Elephas maximus indicus: one gene and its partners. The protein of the gene in region 4 purifies or fractionates together with the protein of the main gene of each other region. This does not show direct contact. Links are inferred from orthologs where the notes say so. Each region holds a gene or a part of one and is shown on either strand. Other genes may lie near its edges.

Region 1 (6,869 bases), on a different chromosome or scaffold from region 4:
AGTTTCACATAAAATATATTCAGAAAATTTTTTTTTACTCCTATTGCATAAAACAATTTAACTCAAACTGTTCACATGCATCTTTGACATCAGTATCTATTATCATCAGAGCCACTTTTTTTAGTTATCTAACATGATCTTCCAGAGTATACCACCCTCAATTCTAAATTACGTGAAATATGGTACTTTGAATCCATGTTAGATGCTTTCCCTGGACATCTGACCCCAAGCTAAAAGTACTCCTACACTATCTAGTGATCTCCACATTGACACTGTACATATAGTACCCATGTACTACACTCCTTATGAAGGTGATTTCTGAGGCATGTTTAAACTTCATCCGACACTTCTAACTACGAAGTGCTCCCCCAGGAATAACTGTTAAATCTATATGGCTTTGCCTTTTTATGAAAAACCAATTTCATCGGGTGACTTTTATAAACAGCCAGCCCAGTACTGACTAAAGTCATTTAGAGTAATGTGTCTTCCCCCAAACAGTTACTATTAAAAATAAAATAACTGATAGAGCTTCTGCCTCATAATATGAGAGATTTTTATAAAAACTCAAATATAATAATTTTCTATGAGAGGTAATTTGGCAGAGGAGTGACTCCATCATATTTAGGCACATATACTATATCAGACTGACTCTTCCAAGCTAAAACTTTAAAGGAAAAAAAAAGTAGAAAATATTTGCTCATCTTTCCTCTCAATTTTTTCCTTTGCTGAGTAATACTATGAACCCTGAGGCATCCCAATAAAGGAAACAAAGTAATTTTCCAACTTACTCCCACTCCTTCCCAGATATATGCACATTATACTTTAAAAAAATATTTATAAAAACAAATCATATCCATCAGTCCTATTTTTATTCTCTTCCATAGTAATTCTTTCCCATTTTCAGCGCTATCCTTCATAATTTGATCTTTATCACCACAGCTCAAGCTGCTTGGTCCTCTCACTGCTCAAGATGCCTTCTTGAGTGGCTTCCTTTTATACTATAAATAACACCCAAAATTCTCACCTAGTCATATTCTAAAACTCATTACCACCATCCCAGAATGAACAAAGCTAGTGGGGGAAAAAGAGCTTAATTTGACTTTTAATCCTTAAAAGTATCTAAGTGCATACTGCTAAGAGTACTTTAAGAAAACAGAAAAACCTGATGGGCACTATCTTGGAATAGGCTACCTATTTCTTTTCTTTTCCATGCTTTTATACAGGTTGGTATTATTACTAAATAGTAGTTCTATGCCATTAATGAAACTGTTTTACCACTTAGAAGTTTCTGGGGTCAGAGAAAACAAATGATAAGAAGATAAAAATCACAAGCATATGAAACAGAAATTAGGCAATTTAAGTAATATGTTTAGCTATTTAAGAAGGTACAGATAGCAACTTCTAATCTCCTGTTAGGTCCAAAAAACTCTTAAAAGGGATTCTTTATTAGTAAGAGGAATTTGAATGGAAAGAAATAACTTTCGAAGCAATGGTAGAACTAACTTGTAAACAAGTAAATTTCCTACAATAGAATCCCACAATACATCAATTTGAACACTAATAGCTGCTATATGTAAAGAGCTAGAGAAGAAGGCAAACTAGGAGAAATGAGTATTTCATGCCATGAAGAAAAACTAAGGAAATATGGAAGTAGTGATGTATTAAAGTATTTACTATTAGATACCACAGGCCTATTAGGGACAATATGAAGTAACTTCTAAAAACCAGTTCACTTTGTAACTCTAAAATAAAGAAAATCCACTACTCAATGACAGCAGTTGATAGAGGTCAACTCTTCCAATCAAGTCAAAGATCATATGGTGGGTTGAAAGTCCCCCAAACCTGGTCGATCACCAAGGGACACAAGATTCAGTTTCTTCGATGGAAGGAGGAAAATGACTTGGCACTGCATTCCACACTTAAAATCCAGTAGGCTTTCTTTGATGCCAACAGAGCACTGTGTGTCAAAGCATACCTTGCTATGTTGAAGACAATGAAATGGAAAAGCCATTACTAGTCTTTCGTTTCCCAAACAGTTTATAAACGTGCACGATAAAATACTCCTGACCCTCATCACAGGTAGTGGGGGGGGTAAAAAAACCTCCCGGACTTGGTGTTTCTACCCCCCCTTCCTTTTGGATAGGTGCTTGCACCTCAGCACTGGCCTTAAGAGCTCTCTTCTTGGAATTGTCCTGTGGAAAATTCACTCAATGAGAAAAGCAACGTGGACTAGAAAGGCTGTGACCAAAACAGAAATTAGTATTAAAAATGCCGATCTTACCCTCCCCTTCCACCCTCTCATGTAAAACAAAAACAACCCCCGCAAACTTGCCCCACACCATTATGAGGATCACACAAGCTCCGATCAAAGGTGATTCTCAACTGCCCTTCAGGCAGGAGAACACCTGGGGCGAGTTTTCGGCCCCTCATCTCTCACCCCCGGCTCGGCCAGGCCCCTAGACTGACAGGAGGGGCTGGCCAGACGTCGGCTCCGAGGGGAAAGGCGGTATTGTAGCCGCACCCTGCTCAGGTTAGGGTAGAAGTATTGTAGGACCGGGGTGTCAAGGTTTAGGTTGCGGGCAAGGCCGCCGCACTGACGAAGGGACAGGCAGGAGCCGGCATCAGGGGAGGCGGGAGAAGCAGCCCGGCCTAGGCCGCACCAGGCCGCGGAGTGGCCATACGCTGCTTCCTGGCCGAGGCTGCGAGCCGAGCTTCGAAGAAGGGGTTATCATTACCTGGACGGGTTCCTGCAGCACCGTCATCCTTGAGGCTCAAGCCCACTTTCTGCTGTGCCTCAGGCCCCCCCCCGTAGCGGCTCCGGCCCGGCCAGCCCCGGCTCATTTAAACTCACCAGCGACCGTTACCGGGGGATGGGGGAGGCCGAGCAATTGCCGAGTCCCTCCGAGCGAGACACGGAAATACCCGAAGTGAAAAGCGACGAGCGGGAGCTAGACGGGAAGGCCCGAAAGGGACCGGAAATAGCCGAGGAGAAGTGGCGGCGGAGGAGACCGTTGCCGGAAACTGTCGAGGATTACCGGAGTTTACCGAGACGGACCCAGAGCAAAGGTTCGCCATCTCAGCCACGCCCCCACCCGCCCACGTCACGCCCCATTGGCCACCAGAAGGCCGGGCCACACCCAATCGGCAACCACCAGGGTGGGCGAGGCTTGACGGAACTGAAGGGGCGCGTTACTTGGTGGGGCTGTAGTTTCGATTCGCTACTCTTTCTGCATTAGTTGGCGCGCGGTAATTTTAAGCAAAGAGTAGAATCCTAAGAGTTTGGAGCTGACGTTAATTAACCAAGAAGTATTTGTGTGTTGAGTTTAGTAGTCACTCTGTCCCAGCTCAGAGGAATATCGCCAGAAATTTGGAAGGATCGCCCTCCCGAAAGAGTATGGCCTTAAGGAAATTACAGTCTACTTAAAAAAAAAAAAGGTTTTTTTCTTTTTTTAAGGGAAAAGCAGTGTAACAAAGAGCACTACATTATGTGGTGCTCATTAGAAATGATGTGAAAATTCAGAGGCGAGGGAAATTAATCGGGACTGAAGATGAAGTTTTCATGAAAGGAAATTTAAACTGGACTTGAAAGGATGGGTAGTAGTAGAAGAAAAGAAAGCGTGTGTAAGTGAAGGGAGGAAGAGCTACCAGTCTGGTAAGAGTTAAGGCATTAACTGGAAATAGTTACCTAGGTGACCAGATGATGGAGAATCTCAAAAGGTGTGATAGGAGAGGCATTCTCATCTATCGGAAAGAGCGTGGGATTGAAAATCCAGAGTTCTGGTTTTGAATTTCATCTCTGGCACTAACTGGCTTTGGGTCCTTAGGCAAGTCACAACTTTTCTGAGCTTCTATTTGCTTGGTCTGAGAAAAAAATGAAAGACTAAAAGAATTATGTACGTTAATATATGTGGCTGTGTCTAGTACACATACGCTCTCTCAAAGTTCCTTTCTGCCAAATGAAAAATGAGGGGGTCAGGGAACTACTAAAACTTTGTTTTGTTTTTCAGAAGATGAAAAATTTTTTAAGGTTAATTGTCTAAGTGCATCTGTAGGCTAGTTGTAGCACTCACGGTGCACTCCATTTTGCAGAAAATCCTCTTTCTGGTTCTCACATTTTTATGCAGATGAAATCAAGTTAGAAGTGGGGGTGCTACTTAAAATGTGGAAGTGGTTTTGTAATTGGGTAATGGATGAAGGCTGGAAGAGTTTTAAGGTGCCTAATTGTAAAAGCCTAGATTACCTTGAAGAGAGTGTTGGTAGAATTACGGATGTCAAAAGCAGTTCCGGTGAGGGCTCAACAGGAAGTGAGAGCTATTGGGGAAGTCTCTATCATCTTAGAGAAGAGACAGGGACCTTCCTCCAGAATGGGCAGGGAGAGAATGCCTTCTCCTAGAGCCAAAGCCAGCAGCCTGAATTTGGACATCTAGCCTCCCAAGCTGTGAGAAAATAAGTTTCTGTTTGTTAAAGCCACCCATTTGTGGTATTTCTGTTATAGCAGCACTAGATAACTAAGACAGGGCCCCCTTCCTTTTGGTGATGTCGGAGGGAGGTCTTTTTAAAAAACCAAAAACCACCAGCTGATAGAGCTGTATCTTTCTCTAACCATGTCTAGTTACTGTTTATGTACTTGTAGTCTTGTAAAAGACAGGTCCTAAGGTGATTTTCTGCTGCCCTGTGCCTTGTTCTTTTAGCAAGATTATGTTAAACTAAAGAAGCCCTGGCAGTGAAAATGGTTAAGTGCTCGGCTGCTGACTTAATGGTTCTGTGAGTGAAAGACCTGGTGATCTGCTCCCATAAAGATAACAGCCAAGAAAGCCCAATGGGGTAGTTCACTCCATAACATATGGGATTGCTATAAATTGGAATCAACTCGATAGCACCCAGCAACATGTTAGATTAATTAGAATGGGAATAGACTTCTACTTTGTCCAATACGGTATTGTTATTGTTCGCTGACTCGTAGCAACCCATTATGACCGAGTAGAACTGCCCCATAAGGTTTCCTAGGCTATAATCTTTCTGGGAGCAGATCACCAGGTCTTTCTCTCACAGAGCTGTTGGGTGAGTTCAAACCACCAACCTTTCAGTTAGCAGCTGAACGCTTAACCTTTGCACCACCAGGGCTCCTTTCCAATATGGTGGTCACCAGCTATTTAAAGTTTAATTAATTAAAATTAAATTAGAAACTTAGTTCTTCAGTGGCCTGAGCCACATTCTAAGGTCTTATAGACATAAATGGCTGCAATATTGGACAATACAGATGTAGAACATTACCATTGTTGCAGAAAGTTCTATCAGATAGCACTGGAAAAAAAAAATTAATGATACTAGTTAAAATTTAATGAGCATTTACCATGTTCCCAGCACTATTCCAAACTCTTTGGATTAATTCTTTTAACAACTTAACAGAGGTAGGTTCTGTTTTTAGCTGCATTTTATAGATGAAGAAAATGAAGGTAAATAATTTCCCCAAGGTCAAACAAATAGATTCAAACTCAGGCAATCTGGCTTCACCTTCCATACTTAAGGACCATGCTATGCCATGGAGAATAATTTATAAACCAAACCCCATCCAGTCAATTCTAACTCATAAGGATCCTATAGATGATGGATAATAATTAGGAGCTCATATTAGTGATCCTGGTGTTTCAGTTGCCTGTTGATCTTCTTTCCCTACACACTCACCCCAAAACTTAGTGGCTTATAACTGTAGCCATTTTATTGTTCATGATTCTGTGAATGAGGGATTCAGGCAGAGTTCTGTGGGGCAGCTCATTCTGGCTCCATGTGGTGTGTTTGACTGGGGCTGGAAGATCCAAGATGGTTTCACTTGTCTGGGATCTTGGTGCTAGCAGTTGGCTGCACCCCTCAGTTCTCTTCCAGGTGACCTTTTTCCTCACGTGGTCTGTCGTCTATCCCCAGCTTCTTGACTTGAGTGGCTGACAACCAAGAAGACAAAAACAGAAACTGCAAGACCCCTTAAGGCCTAGGTTTTAAGTCAAACCCCATCACTTTTTGTTGGTCAGAATAAGACGGAGGGCCAGCCCGTATTCATTAGGAAGAGGAACAGACTCCACCTTTTGATTCAAGGATTGACAAAGTGTTGCTGCCAAAGGCTTGTGAGATGGGAGGGATTGCTGGGCTATCTTTGGAAACAATCTACCACACCAGATCTGAGATGACATCTCCTGATAGTGGGCATGGAAAGAAAGGGATGGATAAGAGATGTTACTTTTTAAAATTTGACCGTTTTAACTAAACACAAGGTATCTTTGGGTGGCACAAACAATTAAGCACTCAACTACTAGCTGAAAGGTTGGCAGCTCAAATGCACCCAGAGGCACCTCAGAAGACAGGCCAGGAGATCTGCTTCTGAAAGGTCACAGCCTTGAACATTCTATGGAGCAGTTCTACTCTGGATATATGGGGTCACCATGAGTTGGAATTGACTCGACAACAATAACAACGATTAAATACTCCAGATTTGTTCTGATCAGTTCAGAATGCAGAATGTTATGGATAGAATCATGTCCCCCCAAAATGTGTGTCAACTCGGCTAGTCCATGATTCCCAGTATTGTCATCTGATGTTATTTTGCTATGTGTTGTAAATCCTACCTCCATGGTATTAATGAAGCAGGATTAGTGCTAGCCATGTTAATGAAGCAGGACTCAATCTACAAGATTAAGTTGTGTCTTTAGTCAATCTCTTTTGAGATATAAAAGATAGAAGTGAGTAGAGAGACATGGGAACCTCCTATCACCAACAATCAAGATCCAGGAGAAAGGCGCGTCCTTTGGACCCAGGGTGCCAATACTTGAAAAGCTCCTTGATGGGGAAATATTGATGACAAAGACTTTCCCCCAGAG
Region 2 (7,634 bases), on a different chromosome or scaffold from region 4:
AAGCAGACTGCCACACCTTTCTCCCACGGAGCGGCTGGTGGCTTTGAACCACTGACCTTTAGGTTAGCAGCTGAGTGCTTAACCTCTGAGCCACAAGGGTTCCTTATGTAACCTATGTGTTTTTATTTTTTGAAAGCTTCATTGACGTATAATTTACATACAGTAAAATTCACCCATTGTAAGTGTACAATTCAATGATTCTTAGTAAATTTACAGAGTTGTGCCGCCATCACCACAATCCAGTTTTAGAACATTTCTGTCAACCCAAAGTGACCCCCGTGTGGTCAATCCTCACTCCCCCACCCAGCCAGACAACCACTAATCTACTTTCTGAGACATTTCATAGAAATGGATGCATAGACTATGTGGTCTTTCACCTCTGGTGGCTTTCACTTAGCATGATTTTCAGAATAATTTTTTTTTTCAGATCCATTCATGTTTTGGCTGTACTTTATTCCCTTTTATCGCTGAATACTGTTTCATTGTATATGCCACAGTTTATCTATTCATCAGTTGATGGACATTTGGATTATTTCCACTTTTTGGCTATTATCAGATGTGGTTTTACTTACAAAATATTTCAAATGTAGAAAAATATATAATAGCAAACATGTAGTGCTTAGGAGTCGCTGGGTGGCGCAAACAGTTAAGCGCTTGACTATAACCAGAAGATTGGTGATTTAAACCAACACAGAGGTGCCTTGCAAGAAAGGCCTACAATCTGCTTCCAAAAGATAAAACCCCGTTGCCATCGAATCAATTCTGACTCACAGCAACCCTATAGGACAGACTGAAACTACCCCATAGGGTTTCCAAGGCTATAATCTTTACGGAAGCAAACTGCCCCATCTTTCTCCCTCAGAGAAGCTGGCATGTTCAAACCGCCAACCGTTCTGTTAGCAGCCAAGTGCTTGACCTTTGTGCCACCAGGGCTCCCTTCCAAACTGTAACAGCCTTGAAAGCTGCGGAGCATAGCTCTACTCTGCAACACATGGGGTCACCATGAGTTGGAATCAACTCTACAGCAAAGATTTTGGTTTGTTTTTTTTATATGGCCCTTTTTCTTTTACTATGTGCCAGACATTGCTCTGAGCGTGTTAGATACAGTGGTATACTTAGCAAGTTTGACACCCAGAGTAGATAATTTTTACACCTCCTATATCGACTCAAGGGCACTGGGTTTTTTTTTGGGTATGTTAAAGTACATGACAAAATTACTTTTAGCAATGATCCTGAAATGAAAGAAGTAATCGTAATGGCCAGAAAATAACCAATGAAAACATATTTTATCTGAATTTCATCTAAATAATGACAGTAAAAATTTAATAAATATTACAGTATAAAAAGGTAATGGCTTAAAACTTAAAAATTTTTTTCAACAAAAAACAAACCTGTATTTTATTCATTGGTCTGGCACAGAAATAAATATTAGTTTCTATTTTTGTTCCTCAAATTCTGCAACCTTGTCGATCATTTTGTCAAAACTGATTGTCTTGGCATATTCGTACTCAATGAGCGGTAAAAAAAAGTCATCAATCACTGTAGCACAAGCTCATAGGTTATTAAAAAAACACTTATTAATTTTACTTTCAAAGCACCAGATATGCAAAGTTATGAAAAGTCGTAAACATAAGGATAAATTTGTGGAGATTAATAAAAGCCCCATTTCACAATAAATTCCAAAGAGCCACAGGTCATATTTTTTTGGTAAGAAGTGGAGAATATTCCTACTCTGTTTAGCTCAAACATCTAACCTGCCTCGTTCAATTTTCTCCCTGGCCCTCATACGCATCTGAAGTGGCGATCTAATATATTTTGCCACTGTGTAATTAGGTGTTTTGGAAACAGCCATTTAAATATCTGGCACAAAATTTAAGCAGGCGGCCTCAGTTTCTCCACCTGTAAAAAGATAACAATTTCAACCTTACAGACTGATTTGTGAGCAACCCATTCAATGCAATAACTGGTGTAAAACTTTTGTAAAATGTCAACTGTGTTAGACAAATGCTGGCTATTATGAGTACCAGCTCATTTTTGGACGCGCCTTCTTCATTCACTGTGAGCTAGCGAGTCATTTCACAGGGTAAAACTGCCCTTTCGCACGGAAGGCAGCTATCCAGGAGGGGATGTCTGACTCCCCAAGAACGCACGAAACACCTGCCAGGAGGGGGTGTGGCGCCTTCAGTCTAGTGCGCAAGCGCAACAGGAAGAGCAGTTAGGACTGCCCCTGGCGCCTGCTTAAAATATTTAACTCCAGCTTAAAAAAAAAAAAAAAAAAAAATTTTTAATTTTTTTTATTGAGGATTTATTTTAGGTGGACTCGTGGGGTGACACCAAGGACGTCATACCTGAAGAATGCAAAAGATCATTAAAAAGACAGAAAAGAAAGGCCAAAACGGATGTCAGAAAGGACTCTGAAACTTGCTCTTGAAGGTAAAGTAAGTCAAGCAAATGGAAAAAATGACATGAAAGAGCTGAACAGAAGATTTCAAAGAGCAGCTCAAGAAGACGAAGTATTATAATGAAATGTTCAAAGATCTTGAATTAGAAAACCAAAAGGAAAAAACATGCTCAACGTTTCTCAAGCTGAAAGAACTGAAGAAAAATTCAACCCTAGATTTGAAATACTGAAACACTATGGGCAAGATATTTAATGATGCAGGAAGCACCAAGAGAAGATGGAAGATGAAAGGAATACACAGAGTCACTGTACCAAAAAGGACTGGGCGACATTCAACCATTTAAGGAGGTAGTGTATGTTCAAGAACCGATGGTATTAAAAGAAGTTTGAGCTGCACTGAAGTCATTGGTGAAAAACAAGGCTCCAGGAATTAACAGAATACCAGTTGCAATATTTCAACAAACAAATGCAGGGATGCAATCCTGGAAGCACTCACTTGTCTATGTCAAGAAATTTGGTAGATAACTACCTGGCCGACTGACTGGAAGAGATCCATATCTGTGCCGATTCCAAAGAAAGGTGATCCAATAGGAAGTGGAAATTATCAATGTCATTAATATCACATGTAAATAAAATTTTGCTGAAGATAATTAAAAACCGGTTGCAACAGCACATCAACAGGGAACTGCCAGAAATTCAAGCTGGACTCAAAAGAGGATGTGGAATGAGGGATATCATTGCTGATGTCAGATGGATCTTTGCTAAAAGCGGAGTATACCAAAAAGATGTTTACCTTGTTTTATTGACTATGCAAAGGCATTTGATGGTGTGGATCATAACAAGTTATGGATAACATTGCAAAGAGTGGGAATTCCAGAACACTTCTTTGTGCTCATGGGGAAACTGTACATAGACCAAGAGGCAGTCATTCAAACAGAACACAGGGATACTCCCTGGTTTAAAATCAGGAAGGGTGTGCATCAGAGTTGTATCCTTTCACCGCACTTATTGAATCTGTATGTACTGAGCAAATAATCCGAGAAGCTGGACCGTATGAAGAAGAACTGGGCATTGGGATTGGAGGAAGACTCATCAACAGTCTATGACATGCAGATGGCACAACCTTGCTTGCAGAAGGCAAAGAGGACTTGAAGCACTTACTGATGAAGATCAAAGACCACAGCCTTTAGTATGGATTACACCCCAACATAAAGAAAACAAAAATTCTCACTACTGGACCTATAGGCAATATCATGATAAATGGAGATAACCCTGAAGTTGTCAAGTATTTCATTTTACTTGGATCCACAATCAACACCCATGGAAGCAGCAGTCAAGAAATCATATGACATATTGCATTGGACAAATCCACTGCAAAAGACCTCTTTAAAGTGTTAAAAAGCAAAGATGTCACTTTGAGGACTAAGGTGTGCTTGACTCAAGCCACAGTATTTTCAATCACCTCATATGCATGCTAAGCCTGGGCAATGAATAAGTCAGACCAAAGAATTGATGCCCTTGATTTACGATTTTGGAGAATATTAAATGTACCATGAACTACTAGAATGAACAAATCTTTCTCGGGAGAAGTACAACCCGAACGCTCCTGAGAAGGAAGGATGGTGAGACTTGGCTTTACGTACTTCGGACATATCGTCAGGAAGGATATCATGCTTGGTGGAGGGTCAGCGAAAGAGAGGAAGACCCTCAAGATGGATCGACACAGTGGCTGCAAGAATAGGCTCAGGCATAGCAAGGATTGTGAGGATGGTGCAGGACCTGGCAGTGTTTTGTTCAGTTGTACACAGGGTCGCTATGAGTCAGAAGGGGCTGGATGGCACCTAACGACGACGACGTTGAAAATTTTTCAGCGCCCTACTGTATTTTTTCTACTTTTTCAAATTTGATTTTATTTATAATAAATGTGTATACATTAGTAATTAATTTTTGAGGTACACATTCCTCTCAGACTCATCTCACTTCAATTGAGCAATTATTCTTACTGAAAGGTGTTCGGTCCCTAGCCTAGCCCAATGTAAGCCCTCAATAAAGTTTGCGGATTAGGAATGATAACATAATTTTTCCTTACGGGGCGGAGGGGGGATTGCAAATCAAGCGCCCCAGTACGTCACAGGAGGCGCGGGGCGGCCAGGACCTGACTTTTTAAGCAGGCACTACGGAAGTCGCCTATTTTCTTGGAGGCGGTGCCTCACGTGGACCCGATGGACCCCGGCGGGGCCGCCATTTTGGAGGCCTCTCTAGGGCGCCTGTACCGGCCTTCGGTGCCGCTGCCTGCGGCTTCGTCGGGTAGAATGAACGTGATAGACCACGTGCGGGATATGGCGGCCGCGGGGCTGCACTCCAACGTGCGGCTCCTCAGCAGCTTGTTACTGACGATGAGTAACAATAACCCGTGAGTCGAGGCGGGGAGCGGCTGGGCTGAGACAAAGCGGCGCCGGTTTGGGAGCGGGGTGGAGCGGCCGCGGGCCCCAGGTGAGGCTCAGGTGTCAGCGAGGCCTCGTCGGCGGATCCGACGTGGGAGCGCACGGCGAGTTCGCTGGGATGAGCTCCCCGCGGAGGACTGCACGGCGGGAGGTTCCCAGGATTGCCCTGAAGGGGGTCCCCCGAAAGGATTGCCCTGGAGAGGGTCCCCCGAAAGTTGGGAGCGACCGGTTTGCTGAGGCACCTGGCGCCGAGCAGAGCGGCTGTCAGGCGTCGCTGGGCTGAATCCTGCCCTCCCGGCTCCTTCCGGAAGAACGTTTTCCCGCTCTCGGCAGCTCCAGGGGGCCCAGCCCCCTGCCTTTTATTCCTTTTTCCCACCCTTGGGATTGCCTTTCTCCTTTGAATGTCTCGCCTAGACAAGCCCCTGAAAACGGGCGGCTCCCTCGATGATCAGGTGGGAGTGGCGCCTCTTTATGTCAGGTCCCAGGACTCCCAGGAGATGCAGAGCGTGCCCCTTTCATATTCTCACAGCTGCCACTTACTGAGTCTTAGGATGGATGAAGCACCGGCCTCATTCCAGCTGTGATCGCATTGTCATTCCCCTGCTTAAAATCCTCCATTGTGCTCAACATAGCCTGCAAGGCCCAACCCGGCTTCATCTCCTTTGCTCTGCTCACTGCCTTCCAGCCCCCTCGACAGTTCTTTCTGTGACTTAAACGCATCAGGCTTGTTCTCACCTCTGGGCCTTTACACTGCTCTTCCTGCTGCTTCATTCAGTTTTCAGCTCAGATATCCCTCCTGGAGAGCCCTTCTCTGACCACTAGAATTGTCCCTTTTCCCTACTCTTCTAGCCGATTGCTCTGTTTTATTTTCTGCATCACTCTTGTCACTGATGAAGTTCTGTTATTTCATCTACATCTACCTCCCCTGCCAGACCGTAGGCATCATGAGGGCAGGAGCCCTATTAATTGCCTTCCCTGCTGTATCTTTAGCACTTAACCTGGTGTGCAGTAAGCACTCATGTGTTTATTAAGTGTGATAAGCAAGTGGGTACGATCTCTGGTGAAATACCTTGTCCAACTTCACACATTTAGTAGGTGGAGGATCCGGGATGGGACCTTGGTCCTCTCTGCCTCCGTGCTGACCCACCACAGCCTAAATGGCATTGTGGTTGAATTTCCTACTTAGCATGGACCCAGTGTGGTTGGTCTGCTCTAGAAGCAGTCTACGTCAGAAGGGAAAGGCCTTAAGTGCCTGTAGTGCAGCCACTGCTTCCCATTTCATTTCCATGAACGTGCTTTGGACTTCACTCTGTGAGACCCATCATTTTGCCACCATCCACTTAATGCTGACAGCAAGGAGCCCTGGCTTCTGTCAGCCTTCTGTGTTTATTCTGGAGCCTTTCACTTGCTCCAGAGTGATTTGCCAAAGCATATGGTTTCCACACTTGGGATTTATGCACCAGTTAGTCATTACTCATTGTTTCTTTTTCTTTTCTTTTTTTTTTAATTTATTTATTGGGCTTTAGGTGAAAGTTTACAAATCAAGTCAGTCTCTCATACAAAGAGCCGTACACACCCTGCCGTGTACTCCCAGCTGCACTCCCCTTAACGATACAGCACACTCCTCTTCTCCATCCTGTATTCCCCGTATCCATTCAACCAGCTCCTGTCCCCCTCTTCCTTCTCATCTCACCATCAGGCAGGAATCGCCCACATGGTCTCATGTGAGTCTAGGCCAATCCTTGTCTGTAGAGTTGGTTTCAGGAATGGTTCCAGTCTTGGGCTATCAAAGGGTCCGGGGTACTCATTGTTTCTTGAAGAAGTTATAGGATAGTCTGATCCTCGGGCTGCTCTTTAGTTAGCCTAGGCTTCTTCATATGAAGTTCGACTGGCAGCTTCCTAGCTTCTGCCTCTAGAGGAGAATATCAATAAAGAAGAGCAGACACAACATGTATCTATATATTTAAGTTCTAACCTTTATATTTTAAAATTTCTTACTGAATAGACAGTTACATGCTAATAGTTTAAAAAAAGTACAGAAAGGGTTGTTGTTAGTTGTCTCAGTAACAGAATGAAACTATTGCCCCGTGCTCTGTCATCTTATATGCAGATAGTGTCTGTCCCTAGCTCCTGAGCACCACACCACCATTCCCTTCTCCAGAGGCCACAGTTGTTAACAGTTTTTCATGTATCATTCCTGAGAGAACCTCACCTCTGCCCACATAAATAGGCGTGTATGTTACATTATATAAATACCTGAATGTGTTCTGTGTATATGATGATACTTTGTTCTTTATCCAAGCATCAGATACATACTTCTCACTAAATACATAGAATCTCAGAGTTGGAAGAAATCTGAAGTCATCTGCACTGTACCTTACAGTTCTTGAATTTCCTTTGTAACTTGATCTAGTGTTTAGCCTATCCTTTTTTTTTTATTATTATTTTTTATAAGGAGATAGAATTCACATAAGATAAAATTCAACCTCTAAACTGTCGAATTATATGGTTTTTAGTATATTCATAAGGTGTGTAACCATCACCACTACCTTAATTCCGGAACATTTGATCACCCTGCACAAAAAGAAATCCACACCCATTAGCAGTTACTCTCCATCTACCCTTCCCCAGCCCCTGGCAACCACTGCATATTTACTTTCTGTCCCTATTGTACCTGTTCTTGAATACACCTCCATTTGTTGAGAAACTCACTGTCTACAGAGTTCTTTCACTCACTCTGTTCTTTAATTTTAAGCAGCTATAGTTTCTACCTGTCAAAGAAAACCATG
Region 3 (7,380 bases), on a different chromosome or scaffold from region 4:
ATTTTCCCCATGGAATTCTTAACTATTGCAACTCGAGGCTTGAATTTTTTCTTCAGTTCTTTCAGCTTGAGAAACGCTGAGCATGTTCTCCCCTTTTGGTTTTTCATCTCCAGCTCTTTGCACATGTCATTATAATACTTTACTTTGTCTTCTCGAGAGGCCCTTTGAAATCTTCTGTTCAGTTCTTTTACTTCATCAATTCTTCCTTTTGCTTTAGCTGCTCGATGCTCAAGAGCAAGTATCAGAGTCTCCTCTGACATCCACCTTGGTCTTTTCTTTCTTACTTTAAGGTGTTAAAAAGCGAAGATGTTACTTTGAGAACTAAGGTGCACGTGACTCAAGCCATCGTATTTTCAACCTCCTTATATGCATGCAAAAGGTGGACTATGAATAAGGAAGACCAAAGAAAAATGGGTGCCTTTGAATTATGGTGTTGGTGAAGAATATTGGACTGCCAGAACAATGAACAAATCTGTCTTGGAAGAAGTACAGCCAGAAAGCTCCTTAGAAGTGAGGATGGTGAAACTTCACCTCACGTACTTTGGACATGCTATCATGAGGGGCCAGTCCCTGGAGAAGGACATCATGCTTGGTAAAGTAGAGGGTCAGCCAGAGAGTAAGACCCTCAATAAGATGGACTGCCACAGTGGTTGCAACAATGGGCTCAAGCATAGCAACGATTGTGAGGATGGCAGAGGAGCAGGCAGCGTTTCGTTTTGCTGTACAAAGGGTCGCTACGAGTCGGACACGACTCGACGGCACCGAACAAGAAGTGGGAGAGTGGACATGCCATTAAGTTTAATCCACTAGACATGAGAATTGTCAGAGATTTCTGATCACTCCAGAACACTGAAGTTTGCTACATTTCATGAAAACTCCCTCTAACTCACCAGTTCACAGGATTATCCTCAGAGTCTGAATGGATAAGTCATTTATTCAGTGAACGCTTCTTGTGTTTCAGCTACAGAGTTAAAGGACACAGTCTGTGGGGAAACAGTCAAGGAAACAGAAAATTACGACACAGAATAACAAGAACTCTGATGAGGCTAATACAATGGCATCACAGAGGCACCTAAACCCAGTTGAACGTGGGGTGGGCAGGAATGTCAGGAGGGCTTCCTAGTGAAGAGGACGTCTTAGTTCAGTTCTGAAGGACAAGCAGAGAAAGGGGACTAAAGGCATTCCAGGCAGATAGGAGTTTGCAGAGGCTTAAGAGAGTACTACACAGTCTAAGAACCCAAGGTAATACTTGTGTTAACAAAAAGAACAAGTATTTTTTGAGAAGAAAACAAAACTCCCACAACTGAGTTTAACATCTGTTGATGGCATTATCTTTACATTCTCCACAGCATCCAGTAGAATGTATTTTTATCAAGTAGTCAGTAAATACTTGTTGAATAAAATGAGAGATCTAATAGAGAACGTGAGATGAACTTTTTTTGAGTACTGTTCTAAGATTTTCCTCTCCTTTCTTTACATTCTTAGTTTAATCTTCACAGAAACCCTGTGAAGCTGACAAAATTATCCCCATTTTTCAGATAAAGAAGTTGAAGCAAGCTGTTCAATTTTGGCTAATAATGTGGGCCTCCTATAATCACACATACATCACAGGATGAGGATTAAATGAGAATAGTGTAAAAGAATGCCCTTTATAAGTATGTGCAGACATAAATTTTTATTTGTAGCTAGGGACTGTGAAGTATGCAAATAAAGGTATGTTTCCTCTTCCCATGAAGCTTGGGACTGATATTACCAACATAAAACTCTGGCACATTACATTTCAAACTGCTTTGCACTAAATCAGATAGACTCTTCTACCAGATTCCAATGTAAACAAGTGGTAGAAGAAGCCAAATTTCCAAAGAAAGCATGAGGCGGAAGGAAGGGTAAATACTTAAGAGAAAAAAGTGCTATAAGTTTTCTTAGCTTTTCTGCAGACTGAAAAGCTGGACACTAGGAAGTTGTGTAGAGGAATGGTTTAAAAGTGCTGGGGCTCCCACTCTGCCACTGACGGTGAACAATTAGTATCAGCTCTCACTAGACCTTAGTTTCCTTCCCTGTATCTGTACTCTGTGGTAACGACTGAATGACATAAGGCAGATCAACCTCCTGGCACATAATTTGGCATTTAGGAAACGCCAACGCTAGAGGGCAAAAGGAAAGGTTGGCGGTTGGCGTATGCCTAGAGCTGCCTCAGAAGAAAGGCCTGGTGATCTACTTCCGAAAAATCAGCCACTGAAAACCCTATGGAGCGCAGCTCTACTGTAACACACTTGGGGTCACCACATGTCAGTATGTTTCCACAGCAACTGGTTTTTGGTTTCATTATTATCGTAATTTTCCTCAGTAGAGGGGCGCCTCCATCCAGCTCCGCTAACACCAGTATTCTGAGGCTCCCTCATTCACCCTGTGAGTGCAAAAACCTTGTTTTGTATAATCTCTGATGCCCCAGCACGCAGCAGGGCACAGGGCTGTGCCGAGAGTTGCCTGTGTATACCTTACCTGTCCCCTTCATATCCATCACCTCACTCTGAATCTGAAAGAAAGACCGGTGGAGAGCTAACAACCAAATCAGGCCATGGCTCCTCCGCCCAGTATTTTATTTTGGCGCTAACGGGCTCTTCGAGCTTAATCTCCAGCCGCTGCCCAAATCCTCCAGAAATTCACAACTCAGAGGGAGTCCTTAGGAGGGCTTCCGGACAGCAGGCAACAACCCTCCTCCAGAGCCAGGGAAGCACTCAGGGGTTCAGGGCGATGGTTTCCACGGCAACAAGGTCCCCCGCTCCAGGACAACATAAAGTCTCCCGTAGGCCCAGGAGGGACTGCAGGCCCCGGAAGTCATCAATTAGCTCCAAGGTTCAGCCCGGAGTCGCGCCACTGCATACACATACCTCCTTTCAAGCCTGCTCAGCTCAGCCCCTTCCCGGAACCTTAGCGCCCATCACCAATCTACCGCTAAAACGAGTGGACTACACTTCCCAGACTTCTCTGAGACTCTCTCTGCAGACTCTTGTCTCCCGCGTGGTTTACTCGGAAGCTGCACAGGTCACGCCTCCAGACGTGACGAGAATCTACCCTACTACGATTCCCATCAAGCTCCGCGCTACCCCAGTCGCTGCGCCGGTTCTAGGCCCAGTTCCGGTCGATGACGTAGTTCCGCTTTGCTGGGCGCGCGGTGGACGGTCTGAACGTACCGCTCGGTTTTCGCTGGAGTTTGCGGCTCCAGAGCCCGGCATGGCCGCCTCACGACCTCCTTCCACGGTACAGAACTCGGAATCTCTGCTTACTGTGGCAGGGAGCGCCGAGTGATTACTGCAGGATGGGGCCGCTAGGAAATGGATAAGGCGGTGGAGGGAGGAGGAGGGAGAGAGACTGCGGTACTCATTGTTCCATTATGGAGCCGAGCAGCGCTATCCTGGTACCTGAGCGTTTTCATACGCTTTGGTCTCTTTCGTCTCTCTCGCTACAGCCCTGGAACGGTAAACACTTCCTCCGACTGGTCCCAAAGCGGAGACCTGAAGGAGGGAAATGTCTTGGTCAAGATTCACGTCTATGTCAGTTGTAATGAGGCCTCCTAACCCCGTATCTGTTGTCGTTTGAAATGTATAGACCAGGAATTTACGTTAGCACCTGGTTAGCTATTTCATTCAAATAACCAGCCTTTCATTCAAAAGATTTCAACCAAATCCTTGCTGTTTCCCTCGTGATAAGCAATAATCTTAGAAGGTTCATAAAACCCAAGAAGAGATTGCACTTCCAACCGACATGAAGTAAACAGATTCCAAAGTAAAACGTTGATAGAAAAATCACCAAGAGAAATTCATTAGTTTTATCGACCTTCTGCTACCTGTCTGCAAAACTTAAGTGATGGAGGGATGGAAACACCCTTCAAATCAGGGAAGAACATCTTAACTGGTGTCCAACTTGCCCTTTCATTCGGGGAGGAAATAGGATTGAAGCTCAGGATGAGCTTTGGGGACGCCTAGTAGATTGCTAAGATTAAGCCTTAAATTAATTCAGTTCTTTGGTTTAGCAGGGAACCAAAACCTCTAAGGCACCTGATGACTTAGTTGCTCCTGTTGTGAAGAAACCCCACATCTATTATGGAAGTTTGGAAGAGAAGGAGAGGGAACGTCTGGCCAAAGGAGAGTCTGGAATTTTGGGGAAAGAAGGACTTAAAGCAGGAATCGAAGCTGGAAATATTAACATAACCTCTGGTGAGATGCAATTTGAGTCTCTCTTTACGTTTGATGCTCAAATTTTCTATAGTGAATACCTTCCTAGATAATTATCACTAGTTTTGTGGTCTCTAAAGTTTTCAATTCTTAAACTTGCACCTGTAAGGCCATACTTTGCCTACCACCCTTAGCATCATTTGGAGAGCCTGTTTCTTAGGATCTTTTATACAGTTTTTTGTTCCGTGGATTGTTAGGAATTTACTCAGATGTTTAGGTATTTGGGCTCAGATTGATTGTGTTTGTCTTCTAGAGAGCTAGGATAGTTGTGGCATTGGTTTGGAGCTATTGTGGTTCATAACGTTCTCCCTTTTTTTAGTTTTCCAATTATTTTTCAGCCAGAGTGAAACCTGTGTTTTTTAAGTATAAAAGTAATAGCTGTTTTTATTTTTGTTAAATCAAAAATGTAGAGATGTACGAAGTAGAAAATCCCGTGATCCTTATTAATTAGGTGTGTATCCATCCAGAGGCTACTCAAAAAAGGCCTGGCAATCTGCTTCCAAAAAATCAGCCATTGAAAACCCTGTGGAGTGTAATCCTATTCCTACATACATGGGGTCACCATGATTCTGAATCGACTCTATGGCAACTGGGTATCTTTCTGAGAATTTTAATATAGCTATAAAAATACATATTTTTTTTCCATAAATGAAACCATGATGTACAAATTGTTTTGTAACCTGTGTTTTCACTCTGTATGCTGCTGCGGGTATTGTTCCATGTCAGTACCGAGGAGTTTGCTGTATTTTTTAAAATAAAAGTATGCACGGTTGTCATAAGAAATTTAAATGGTACAGAAGAATATAAAATGAAGACTCCTCTGCAGAAAGTTTCTTGTCAAGCCTCCCATTAACCTTTTATGCTGTTTTCAAACACAATTGCATCACTATTGTACCTCTTATTTTTCATCAAAATGCTCATATTTGGTTTGGGTTTTAAAACTTGTTGTTAGGTTGTAAAAAGCCTTATAATCATGGAAAGCTCATCTTCATAGTAATTAGTTTCAGTTAACTAGTTGTATTTCTATGCTATACTGGGACTGTTAGAGAGTAACTTTGGCAATTACTAAAATAGTGTTTCTATTTTATCTTTTGGATAGAAGGGCTTTGGTAAAGATGTTTTATACTCCTTTTTTTTTTTTTTCTTGTCATTCACATTTTGTTATTTTTTTAGATATACCAGCATGTATTTTTTTTTTTAATTGTGCTTTAGGTGCAAGTTTACAGTTCAAGTAAATTTCTCATTCAGAAATTTATAGACATACTGTTTTGTGACATTGGTTGCAATCCCCACCATGTGACAGCACACTCCCCCTTTCCACTCTGGGTTCCGTATGTTCATTCATCCAGTTCCTGTCCCTTCCTGCCTTCTCGTCATGCTCTTGAACAAGAGTTGCCCTTTTGGTCTCACGGGTGTTATTTTGTTTTATAGCCTGTCTAATTTTTGTTTGAAAAGTGGGTTGCAGGAATGTTTTCAGTTCTGGGTTAGCAGAGTGTTCAGGGGCCATAGTTTCGGGGATTTGTATCCTTACCCTCTGATCCCATCTAAGTTATGTGTTTTTATTAGGTGTAAGGTTGCCAAAATGACTTGAACCACTTTCCTGCCTTTTAAAGCTGTGTCATTTAGTTTTACGTATTTGACGTAATTTAGTAAACTGAAAAATGGTAAACTATCTATAAAACGTGTACTAGACTGGACAGTTGCCTTTCCCTAGTGGCATACGTAGACGACAGTTGTTAGAAATTATCTCTTTCTATTTGAAGATCTGGTGATTATACTGAAGTTGCCCGTTCTTTTTATAGGAGAAGTGTTTGAAATTGAAGAACACATCAGTGAGCGACAGGCAGAAGTATTGGCTGAGTTTGAGAGAAGAAAGCGAGCCCGGCAAATCAATGTTTCCACAGATGACTCAGAGGTCAAGGCTTGCCTTAGAGCCTTGGGAGAACCCATCACACTTTTTGGAGAGGGCCCTGCTGAAAGAAGAGAGAGGTGCCCTTCCTAATTCCTAAATATTTACTCTTCTTTTTTTTTTAATCACAAGGTTCTAGTTCCAAATTTGTCAGTCTTCGTAGCTGAAACTCTAATACAATGTCTCCAATAGTATTGACATATTAAGTTGCGTTTATATAGTTTAGCCCATAATTTGAATCTTAGAACAATTTTTACACCACTAGTAATTTTTTTTATAAGCTGTGAAGAAGGTACTAACGTGCTTCTCTCCTGCTTCCCCCCCGCAGCGCACACACACACGCACAGCTTAGAGTTGGGTGACATTTGTGGCTGAGCTTTGAAAATTTAGACGTCAAATATATTTCTTGTCACCTACATAAAACACAATAAATTTTTTTAGATATTAATGAAGGGCACTCTCCTAAGATATTGCTCTTCTTGTAATTTAAGGTTGAAAAGTTTTATGGATATACTAGTCATATGCAGTTAGGAAAACTGTCTCTTGTCTCCACATCCATCACTAACTGCTGTGCCTTTTCTCCCCTTCACCTTCTTCAAAGAGTTATGTACATTTACTCTCTTCAGTTCCTAACTGCTCATTTACTCCTCAGCCCACTGCAAACTGATTGAGCTCTGTTGTTGTCAAGTTACCCTACTACATTGAAATTGCTCTTTATCAAGGTCACCAACCCATCTTTACTGATATAGTCCGAGTACTATGCCAGCCACTCCCTTCTTGAAACACTCTGTCCTTGATTTTCATAAGACTACATCTTCCTGATTTTCTTCCTGTCCCTGGGTAACTCTTCTCACTTGCCTTCTAGGCCTCTTTTTTCCTGTTTAATAGTGAGCTCAAACTAGCAACAATTGTGAAGATGGCACAGGGCCGAGCAGTGTGTTCCGTTGTACATAGGGTTGCTGTAAGTTGGAACCAGCTCAGTGGCACCTGTCAACGTTTGTATGCTGTAGTCCGTTGCTTTCACCCTATACTCATCCTGGGCAATCAGATCCATTCATGTGGCATCATTTGCTGTGTATATTCTGATGACTCCCAAATCTCTGTTAGTAAGCCTAGGTATCCCAAAGGCATCTCAAACTTGACATGTGTAAATTGAACTCATCTGTTCCCCACCCCCTTCTATTCTCCTAGCAAATGGCTCTACCATTCACACAGTTCTTGGCTGAAAATCTTCCT
Region 4 (7,559 bases):
TGGAAGAGAGTGAGTTTTATATTCAGACTTCCCCTCCCTGAGATTTTGGTATTCCCCAATGGGACATATGAAAATGGAGTAAGGTGACAGGGGTTATGATTTTCTGACACACTTATTTTACATTTCCCTACTTAAGAACTACTGCTCTACCTACTGACATGATATTTCTTCTCTCCTCTAAAAACATGTAGGTCTTTTTCATCAGGGGCTATTTCTAAACCTCTCCCAACTCATCCCCAAATAACATGAGATCCAGTCAGTACAAACTAAGTAAAAAGAGATTTTAAATGGTGCACAATCACAGTAAAGAGCTTGATTCTCATCATAAAATCACAGTGAGTTACATATGACAAAATAAGTAGCCATGACACTGATACAATAAAGTCATTATCTTAGCCTTGATGGAAATGGCCAAGTTTTAACCACCACCCTAGAAGTAACATTATACTCATTTCTCAGTTGCAATTTAAGGGGAGCCTTAAATTACAATTATATTACATCACTCTACAAAAATATGATGGGAAAATTAATGGAACCTTCTGTTTCTCGTGGATTGTGACCTCCTGAAGGGATCCCACCAAGCCAGCAGCACCATCAGAGGACCATAGCTCAGAGGCTGGCTGCAGCTGGCGAAGCTGAAGGTTCAAAGCATTGGGATGGTGCTTGCAGTGGTCTCGACCAAAAGGGACAAATTCCTGCAAATCCCTGGCTGCAATCATCGTTGCCCTTTCTTCATAGACGTTCGACATGGGTTCCAAATATCAACATTATTTCTGTAGGAATTCAAACACATTCTGGTGAGCTTCTAGAGTCAAAATCAGACTAAAAATACCATAAGAGTTTACAGTCATCAATCTTTTGATGAGTATCAAATAATTCCATTTTGTTGTCGGTATATAAGTAATCCTGACATCAAAGGGCATTCCAGATCTGACTCTCACAGGTAGATGTCACGTTAGTCACACACTAGCTGAAAAATAAACCTACCACTGTAGGAAACCATTGAGTCAAGACAAGCACTCATGTCCCACAGCTACCCCATAACGTTTCTATACTTCACACAGAAGGTATGAAAACACATTGTACTTTATGGTCCCACGACTGCATGGCTTCTCAACATTCAAGGTCATTTCTGCTCAGATACTGGAGTCTAATTCAAAAAGCACACCTAAAGGCTTGATGGCATTTGGAATGAGATAAAACATATTACTCTAATTCATCAGAGGTTGAACTACTGCTTTCAGTTAACCAATCCACAAAAGATCTAATAAGCTATCAAAATGTCATCAGTAGTTTTGACACCCCAATTCCACCTAAATCTATAACTACACCCCACTTACTGGTCCAAACCCAGGGAACCAAGGCATACGTAACTCTACCCATGAAACAGAAGGCTTATATCTGACTTAACAGCAGATTTAAGAGTCCTAGCTTTTAATTAGCAAAATTTATTGCAGTTTATTAGATTTACTGGCAGATTTGAATGAGCTGTGGGTCAAGACGTGCCCCTCTACCTCCCAAATATTTCTACATAAGTAACTGACAACTGGTAAAATTCTGACACTGCATAACATGGCATACGAGGTGGATTTCGGTTCTGTCTGCAACAGGACTGCCTTAAAAATGGATCTCATGGCATCATATTTAGGCTGCAATCCTCAAACACAAACGTCAAGGCAAACATCCAATGTCAGCACCGTAGACAACTTTTAGAAAGCACATTTTAAAACAGTGCTCACAAGTAAGAGGATTTCATTAGATTTGGCTGAGACTTCTCATCTCAGGTCTTTTTGGCATCAGTTGTTTGTTTTCTGTGCTGCACAAACACCTCAAAGCCTGTGCAGTTCCTTTAGAGTGGTTAAGTTACTCCACTGTGAATTAAAAGGTAGTCCTGAGATTACTGTACAGTGCAAAACACAACCCAAGTTCGTTTCTTCTCTACTGCTAGAAATCAGTACTGAGAACAAAGTCACTTCAACTTTGGACATAACTAAAATAACGCTTTATAAAACTTACAATAACAAAATTCAGCTGGTCTTCCTATACCCTGTTCCAAAGGATAACCGATATAAAAGAACTTGTGACTTTATCCAAGTTCGTGTAATTTTGTAACGTTATTCTCTTTTCACTGCAGGGAAAACTCTAGAATTACTTTCCCAGTACATTACTTTCGTTCTGAGATTATGAACACAAATTTAATACTTTCACAGTACCCCGAACTTTTATAAATGTGTTTTTACTTGACTTAGTGGCAACACAAAAAGCTATACAGAAACGTACTATGTTAAATTAATATGACAAAAATCAAAATTTTTCCTACATGAGATTAAAAGATCATCCTGAAAAGGGAGCAGAGGGCTGGCCTAACAATGAGTTTGTGACCAATTTCTCCCCCTAAAAGTCTAACAGAACCTAACGTAAGACTGAACGGTGTGCACACAACGATCCCTGGCTTGAGTCTCAGCAAAAAGACAAAGCTTCTCGGCCCCTCTGGCAGGCGACTAAGGCAGCGGGCTAAGAACCCAGGCCTCAGAGAATCCGCTCAGAGGGATTGGGCTTCATCGAGAGACTGGTTAGCGAGGAGGAGACCGGGAAGGCGCACCCAAAAAGTACAGCCCTCAAGGCCGTCGGAGCCCACCACCCGCCTCCCAGCCCTCTGGTCAGCAGGCACCGGCCGGCATCGGGGCGGGGATGAGGGTCCCGGGGCGCGCGGCGGGAGGTGGACCGCTGGGCTCCGCAGCCCCGCACCCGCACCTGTGTGACTCGGGACGCGTCAGGCGCGGCGAGCCTCGGCTGCTCCCCGGAGGCGCGGGGGCCGGAGGGGCCTGAGGACAGCGGCGGGGTCGGTCACGGTGACTCCTCAGCCTTCGTTGATTCTCATCCCTCTCTCTCCCCTACTCCGGAGGCAAAAGGGGCTGCAGTACCAGGCGCGACAGCTAACAGCAGGCTGACGTGCCGGCGAGCAGCTCCGGAAGCTGTTTAAATTGACACGACCATCTTGACTTTCCCGTCTTCCCTCGCGCCGGGGCGGTTCGGGCACCGCGGGAGGCGCGCGGCGCCCGGCGGCCTTGGCGCCTGCGCAGTTGCCTGAAGAACACGAAGACCTTACCTCCAACCGCCTTAAGAGGCAGCACTGAGTCCCGAAGCGGGAGCGACTCCAAGAATCTACGTGTGATGGCACCCTCCTGACGCAGATCTTCTCTAGATCATGTCACTACGAGCTTGAACTGCCACCTGACTCTGAGTTATGAGATTTTCTGGCTGCTTTTGCTTCTGCCTCCTTGGCCCCAAATGGAGGTACGTGCCTCCAGGCTCTGGGGCCCTGCTCATCTTCGTTCTACGTGAGTGAATCTGCACCACAAGGCATCCAGACTCCTTGAAAAGTTGGTGAAAGGTATGAAGGCTCTAACAAAAAACGTGCAATTTCAGAGGTTCACAGGTGATTCAGAGACCCAGGTTAAGAACTCCAGCCTTACCCCCCCTCCCTGTCTGGGTTCAACTGTACAATATCACATTTATGGAAACCAGAAACTTTCTTGAGCTCTAATCCCAATTAGGAGCCAGGGTGGCACGAGCGGTTTGCAATGCGTTGCTAACCTAAGGTTGGTGGTTGGAACCATGGAAGCGCCATGAAAGAAAGGCCTGAGGATCTCCTTCTGTAAAGATTACAGACAAGAAAACCCTGTGGAGGAGTTCTACTCTGTAATGCATAGAGTTCCCATGAGTCAGTCTGACTTTACAGCAGCTAACAACAACAATCCCGTATTGCCAAGTTAAAACTATTGACAGGCCTCTTAGTGCTTAGGAATAAACTTCAAATGCTTACCCAGAAATGTAAAGTTGGCTAAAACTTTATGACTTCGCTAAAAGCATCTACTGGGATTCCCCAAACACACCTTGCACTTCATGGCCTTACTCTCTGTATTCATTGCCATGCCTTACTTAGCATGTCACCCTTCAGGGTTCAGCTCAAGTGTCTCTTCTCAGGAGGCTTCACACCAACAGGAAGGAGCCTTTCGTTTCTCAGAACTTTGGGCACAACTGCCTTTCACCAGTCATTTACCTGAAATCAAAATACCACCAGACTTTCCTGGCTCGACGATAAAATGAGGTCAAGTTAACAATCATATCCCAAATGCCCTCTCTTATCCTTTATGTATTTCCCCCCACAGGGTCCCTACCTTCCTTCTCCACCAGGTCTTTCTGGTAGAACCTGCACCAGGACACACCTCAGATGCATCTCAGAGTCTCTTATTGCCACCATCCTCCAGATCCTCAGCCTCTTGTCCACCTCAGCTGCCACCATGGCCTGCCCCAAAGGCCACCCATGGTTGCACTAGTCCTGTCAGCCCCACTACCAGGCACTCGCCACAGAGGACAAAGCCCTCTCCGTTGGCTGCTGCTGTGAAGCCAGGACAATGCGTGGCACTCCCTAAAACTCAACTATGGCTTCTCCTGCCTCCCCCACAGGGAATGGCAGCTGCCTTATGAAAGGGCCAGAAGACATAACCTAAAGTATAGGGAGTAATTTGTGATCAAGGCAAATGTCCATCAATAGGAACAAGCAGGAAGGAGCCAGATGTATAAAATCCCTTTTCTTCCTCCCTCCTGTGAACTACTCTAAGGCCTGGTTTTTCTGCATACCTGTCAGGACATGTCCTGTGCGGCAGAGTGGCGCACCTGCCAGGCAGTCTGCTGAGGCTTTGGCGTCCCATGAAGCAGAATCCAGTGCATTACTTCTCAAGCTCCCCTGCCTCATTTTCCCATTTCATTCATTCTCTTCGGTCTAGAGATTGAACCACCCACATGAAGCATCAGCACTAATCATTCTTGCCTCTGGCTCCCTTTTCTAAGGAATTCAGGCAGTACAGTCCACAAAGAGTGTTTTTATACTGCTAATTATCCAGCTGTGAAGTAGAGTCACTGAAAGGATTTACCCAGCTTTTTCCCTTGCCTGTTCAAGTTATCTTGCCTGCTCAAGAAATTTTCTTAAGGGGCCTCCCTGAGGCCTTACCTGATGATGTCCACTGTGAGGACACCAGGGTCTACACCGATAGCTCCCCTCCAGTACTCCCAGAGACCACCAGTCAGTCCTTTGGGGCTAGAACATTGCTGTGTTCCCTGCAGAACAGCAGAACTGGCCCCACTGCTCCTTGCAACACTCATGGTCAGACATCGGTCTAACAGCGTTGTCACTAACAGCATTACTTGGACTCATGATCTGACAGTTTCTTAAGTAAGCAAATCCTTCTGCTTCTGCCACTAACCCCTCTGCTCATGGGGCTCGAACCATAAATCCAGGAGTTTCCTAGGCCAGACAGCCAACTCACTGCACTTTAACTGTGGCTTCCAAATAAACTACCTTAAAAATCCATTGCCATCAAGTTGATTCCAATTCATAATGACCCTAATGCACAGAGTGGAACTGCCTCATAGGGTTTCTAAGGCTACAGCCTTTACAGAAGCAGATTGCCACATATTTCTTCAGTGGAGCAGCTGGTGAGTTCAAACAGCTGACCTTTTGGTTGGCAGCTGAGTTCTTTAACCACTGCACTACCAGGCCTCCTCAAATTACCTTAAGAGTTCCTGAAATTACATTTTGGATACAAAGGACCCAAAAGTCAGGGTACAAAGGAAAGGGAAAATAATAGAGTTCACTGCCAGTTCATTTATATGGTAAGTGGGTTAACAACCATATTTTATGAATATATTCAATTTTCTAGTATATGATTCACAAAACTTGAAGTCAACTGAAGCATACTGTCTTAGTCATCTAGTGCTGCTGTAACAGAAATATCACAAGTGGATGGCTTTAACAAAGAGAAGTTTATTCTCTCACAGTCCAGTAGGCCAGAAGTCTGAATTCAGGATGCCAACTCCAGGGGAAAGCTTTCTCTCTCTGTCGGCCCTGGAGGAAAGTCCTTGTGATGCATCAGTCTTCCCTTGGACTGGGAGCATCTCAGCACAGGAATGTCAGATCCAAAGGAAGCGGTCAGCTCCCGGGACTGCTGTCTTGGTGGCTTGAGGTCCCCAACTCTCTGCTTGCTTCCCTTTCTTTTTATCTCTTGAGAGATTAAAGGTGGTGCAGGCCACACCCCAGGGAAACTCCCTTGACTTTGGATCAGGGAGGTGACCTGAGTAAGGGTGGTGTTACAATCCCACCCTAATCCTCTCAACATAAAATTACAGTCCCAAAATGGAGGACAACCACACAATACTGGGAATCATGGCCTAACCAAATCGATACACACATTTTTGGGGGGACATAACTCAATCCATGACACATACTAAAAAACAGTTGTCACAGGTATACCCAGTATTATAAAATAGATCTCTTCTGTTGGTGTAAACACCCCCGATAATTAGCAAAACTCCACATATATAATTGCTATGCAAAAAAAACAATAAAATCCCTATTTCTAAATTTTAATCAATTTTTTGCAAAATATAAGACTGTATTATTATCATTTGCTGCATAATAATAGTAGCAGAAACTTTATGGCTTAAAACAACACACATTTTTTATGTCACCATTTCTGTGGGTCAGGAGTCCAAGCATGGCCTAGCTCAGTCCTCTGCTTAAAGTCTCAACAGATTGCACGCAATGAGTTGGCTGGGGTTTTGTGTCCTTTGAGGCTTACTCAGAATTCAGTTCCTTGTGGTTGTAAGACTGAGGGCCTCAAATTTTTGCTGTCAGCCAGAGGCCACCTCAGCTCCTAGAGGCCACTCACAGTTCCTTGCCATGTGGAGCTCCCCAACATGGCCGTTTATTTCTGAGGGTCTGCTAGCAAGATGTAAGTCACGGTCTTATATAATCTAATCACAGGAGTGACATTCCATCCCCTTGGAGGGTTAGAAGCAAGTTACACTTGAGGGAAGGAGATTACACAAGGAAGCAGGTACCATTGGGTACCATCTCAGAAGCTGCCTAGTATAGTCTCTAATATCTATCTGATAAGTAAGTTTAAGGCCTTAAACTACCCTTTTTAGCCAAGGGAGTGAAACGTGGGATGTGTGGAGCCCCTTTATACAAGGGCTTTTCCTCGCCTCTGAGCCCTCGCAGCTGTCTCCACTCAGACCTTCTGAAACAGATAAGGTTAACTGTGCTGGTGGAACAAACTAGCTTTTAAAAGATTACCATCCAAAATTTGGGTAAACAGGAACCCACCCTGTCAACATGAGATAAGATTGAGGCAGTAGTGAAGTACTATCTAGTCCCCTTCTCCTTTGCAGGCTCCACACGCACAGAGGAGCAGAGTGTGACTGCTCTTTGACCTTCCTTAGCTCTCCAAAGATGGCGATGTAGTGCCGAAGATCAAGTGTGCTTGTGCTATATCCCATAATAAGTGAGCCAAAGGCTGCCGAGAGGACTCCATCTTGAATATCAGCGGGTTCCATCTTAGATTCCAGATGCACACAACCTAATTAATATACACTGCCATTCTGAGAAGTACCCGCCTCTTGAAAGAAGCCCACTAAATATTCATTACTCTGTTGTCTCCACCGAACCCATACGAGTCCTAGTCTTGCTTCCCTTTTCGAGTCAGTGTTTTGGAAAA

Evidence for each region.
Region 1: the proteins of ANAPC1 (region 4) and CDC27 purify together in Homo sapiens (affinity purification with mass spectrometry; 16 studies listed by BioGRID and IntAct, with this or other methods). This does not show direct contact. The link is inferred for Elephas maximus indicus from reciprocal best matches to the Homo sapiens genes ANAPC1 and CDC27.
Region 2: the proteins of ANAPC1 (region 4) and ANAPC7 fractionate together in Homo sapiens (co-fractionation; 6 studies listed by BioGRID and IntAct, with this or other methods). This does not show direct contact. The link is inferred for Elephas maximus indicus from reciprocal best matches to the Homo sapiens genes ANAPC1 and ANAPC7.
Region 3: the proteins of ANAPC1 (region 4) and CDC26 purify together in Homo sapiens (co-immunoprecipitation; 6 studies listed by BioGRID and IntAct, with this or other methods). This does not show direct contact. The link is inferred for Elephas maximus indicus from reciprocal best matches to the Homo sapiens genes ANAPC1 and CDC26.

The regions. Positions count from the first base shown.
Region 1 is NC_064837.1:53,067,074-53,073,942, forward strand, and holds the start of CDC27 (cell division cycle protein 27 homolog), read right to left. Parts: upstream 3,009-6,869; 5' UTR 2,763-3,008; coding exon 2,736-2,762; intron 1-2,735. UniProt on the Homo sapiens protein: Component of the anaphase promoting complex/cyclosome (APC/C), a cell cycle-regulated E3 ubiquitin ligase that controls progression through mitosis and the G1 phase of the cell cycle.
Region 2 is NC_064840.1:9,000,901-9,008,534, reverse strand, and holds the start of ANAPC7 (anaphase-promoting complex subunit 7), read left to right. Parts: upstream 1-4,630; 5' UTR 4,631-4,713; coding exon 4,714-4,814; intron 4,815-7,634. UniProt on the Homo sapiens protein: Component of the anaphase promoting complex/cyclosome (APC/C), a cell cycle-regulated E3 ubiquitin ligase that controls progression through mitosis and the G1 phase of the cell cycle.
Region 3 is NC_064827.1:62,535,114-62,542,493, forward strand, and holds the start of CDC26 (anaphase-promoting complex subunit CDC26), read right to left. Parts: upstream 3,022-7,380; 5' UTR 2,892-3,021; intron 984-2,891; 5' UTR 891-983; intron 1-890. Other genes in the region: PRPF4 (U4/U6 small nuclear ribonucleoprotein Prp4), read left to right, coding at 3,336-3,479, 4,034-4,217, 6,038-6,224. UniProt on the Homo sapiens protein: Component of the anaphase promoting complex/cyclosome (APC/C), a cell cycle-regulated E3 ubiquitin ligase that controls progression through mitosis and the G1 phase of the cell cycle.
Region 4 is NC_064835.1:40,984,954-40,992,512, forward strand, and holds the start of ANAPC1 (anaphase-promoting complex subunit 1), read right to left. Parts: upstream 3,008-7,559; 5' UTR 2,755-3,007; intron 774-2,754; 5' UTR 750-773; coding exon 537-749; intron 1-536. UniProt on the Homo sapiens protein: Component of the anaphase promoting complex/cyclosome (APC/C), a cell cycle-regulated E3 ubiquitin ligase that controls progression through mitosis and the G1 phase of the cell cycle.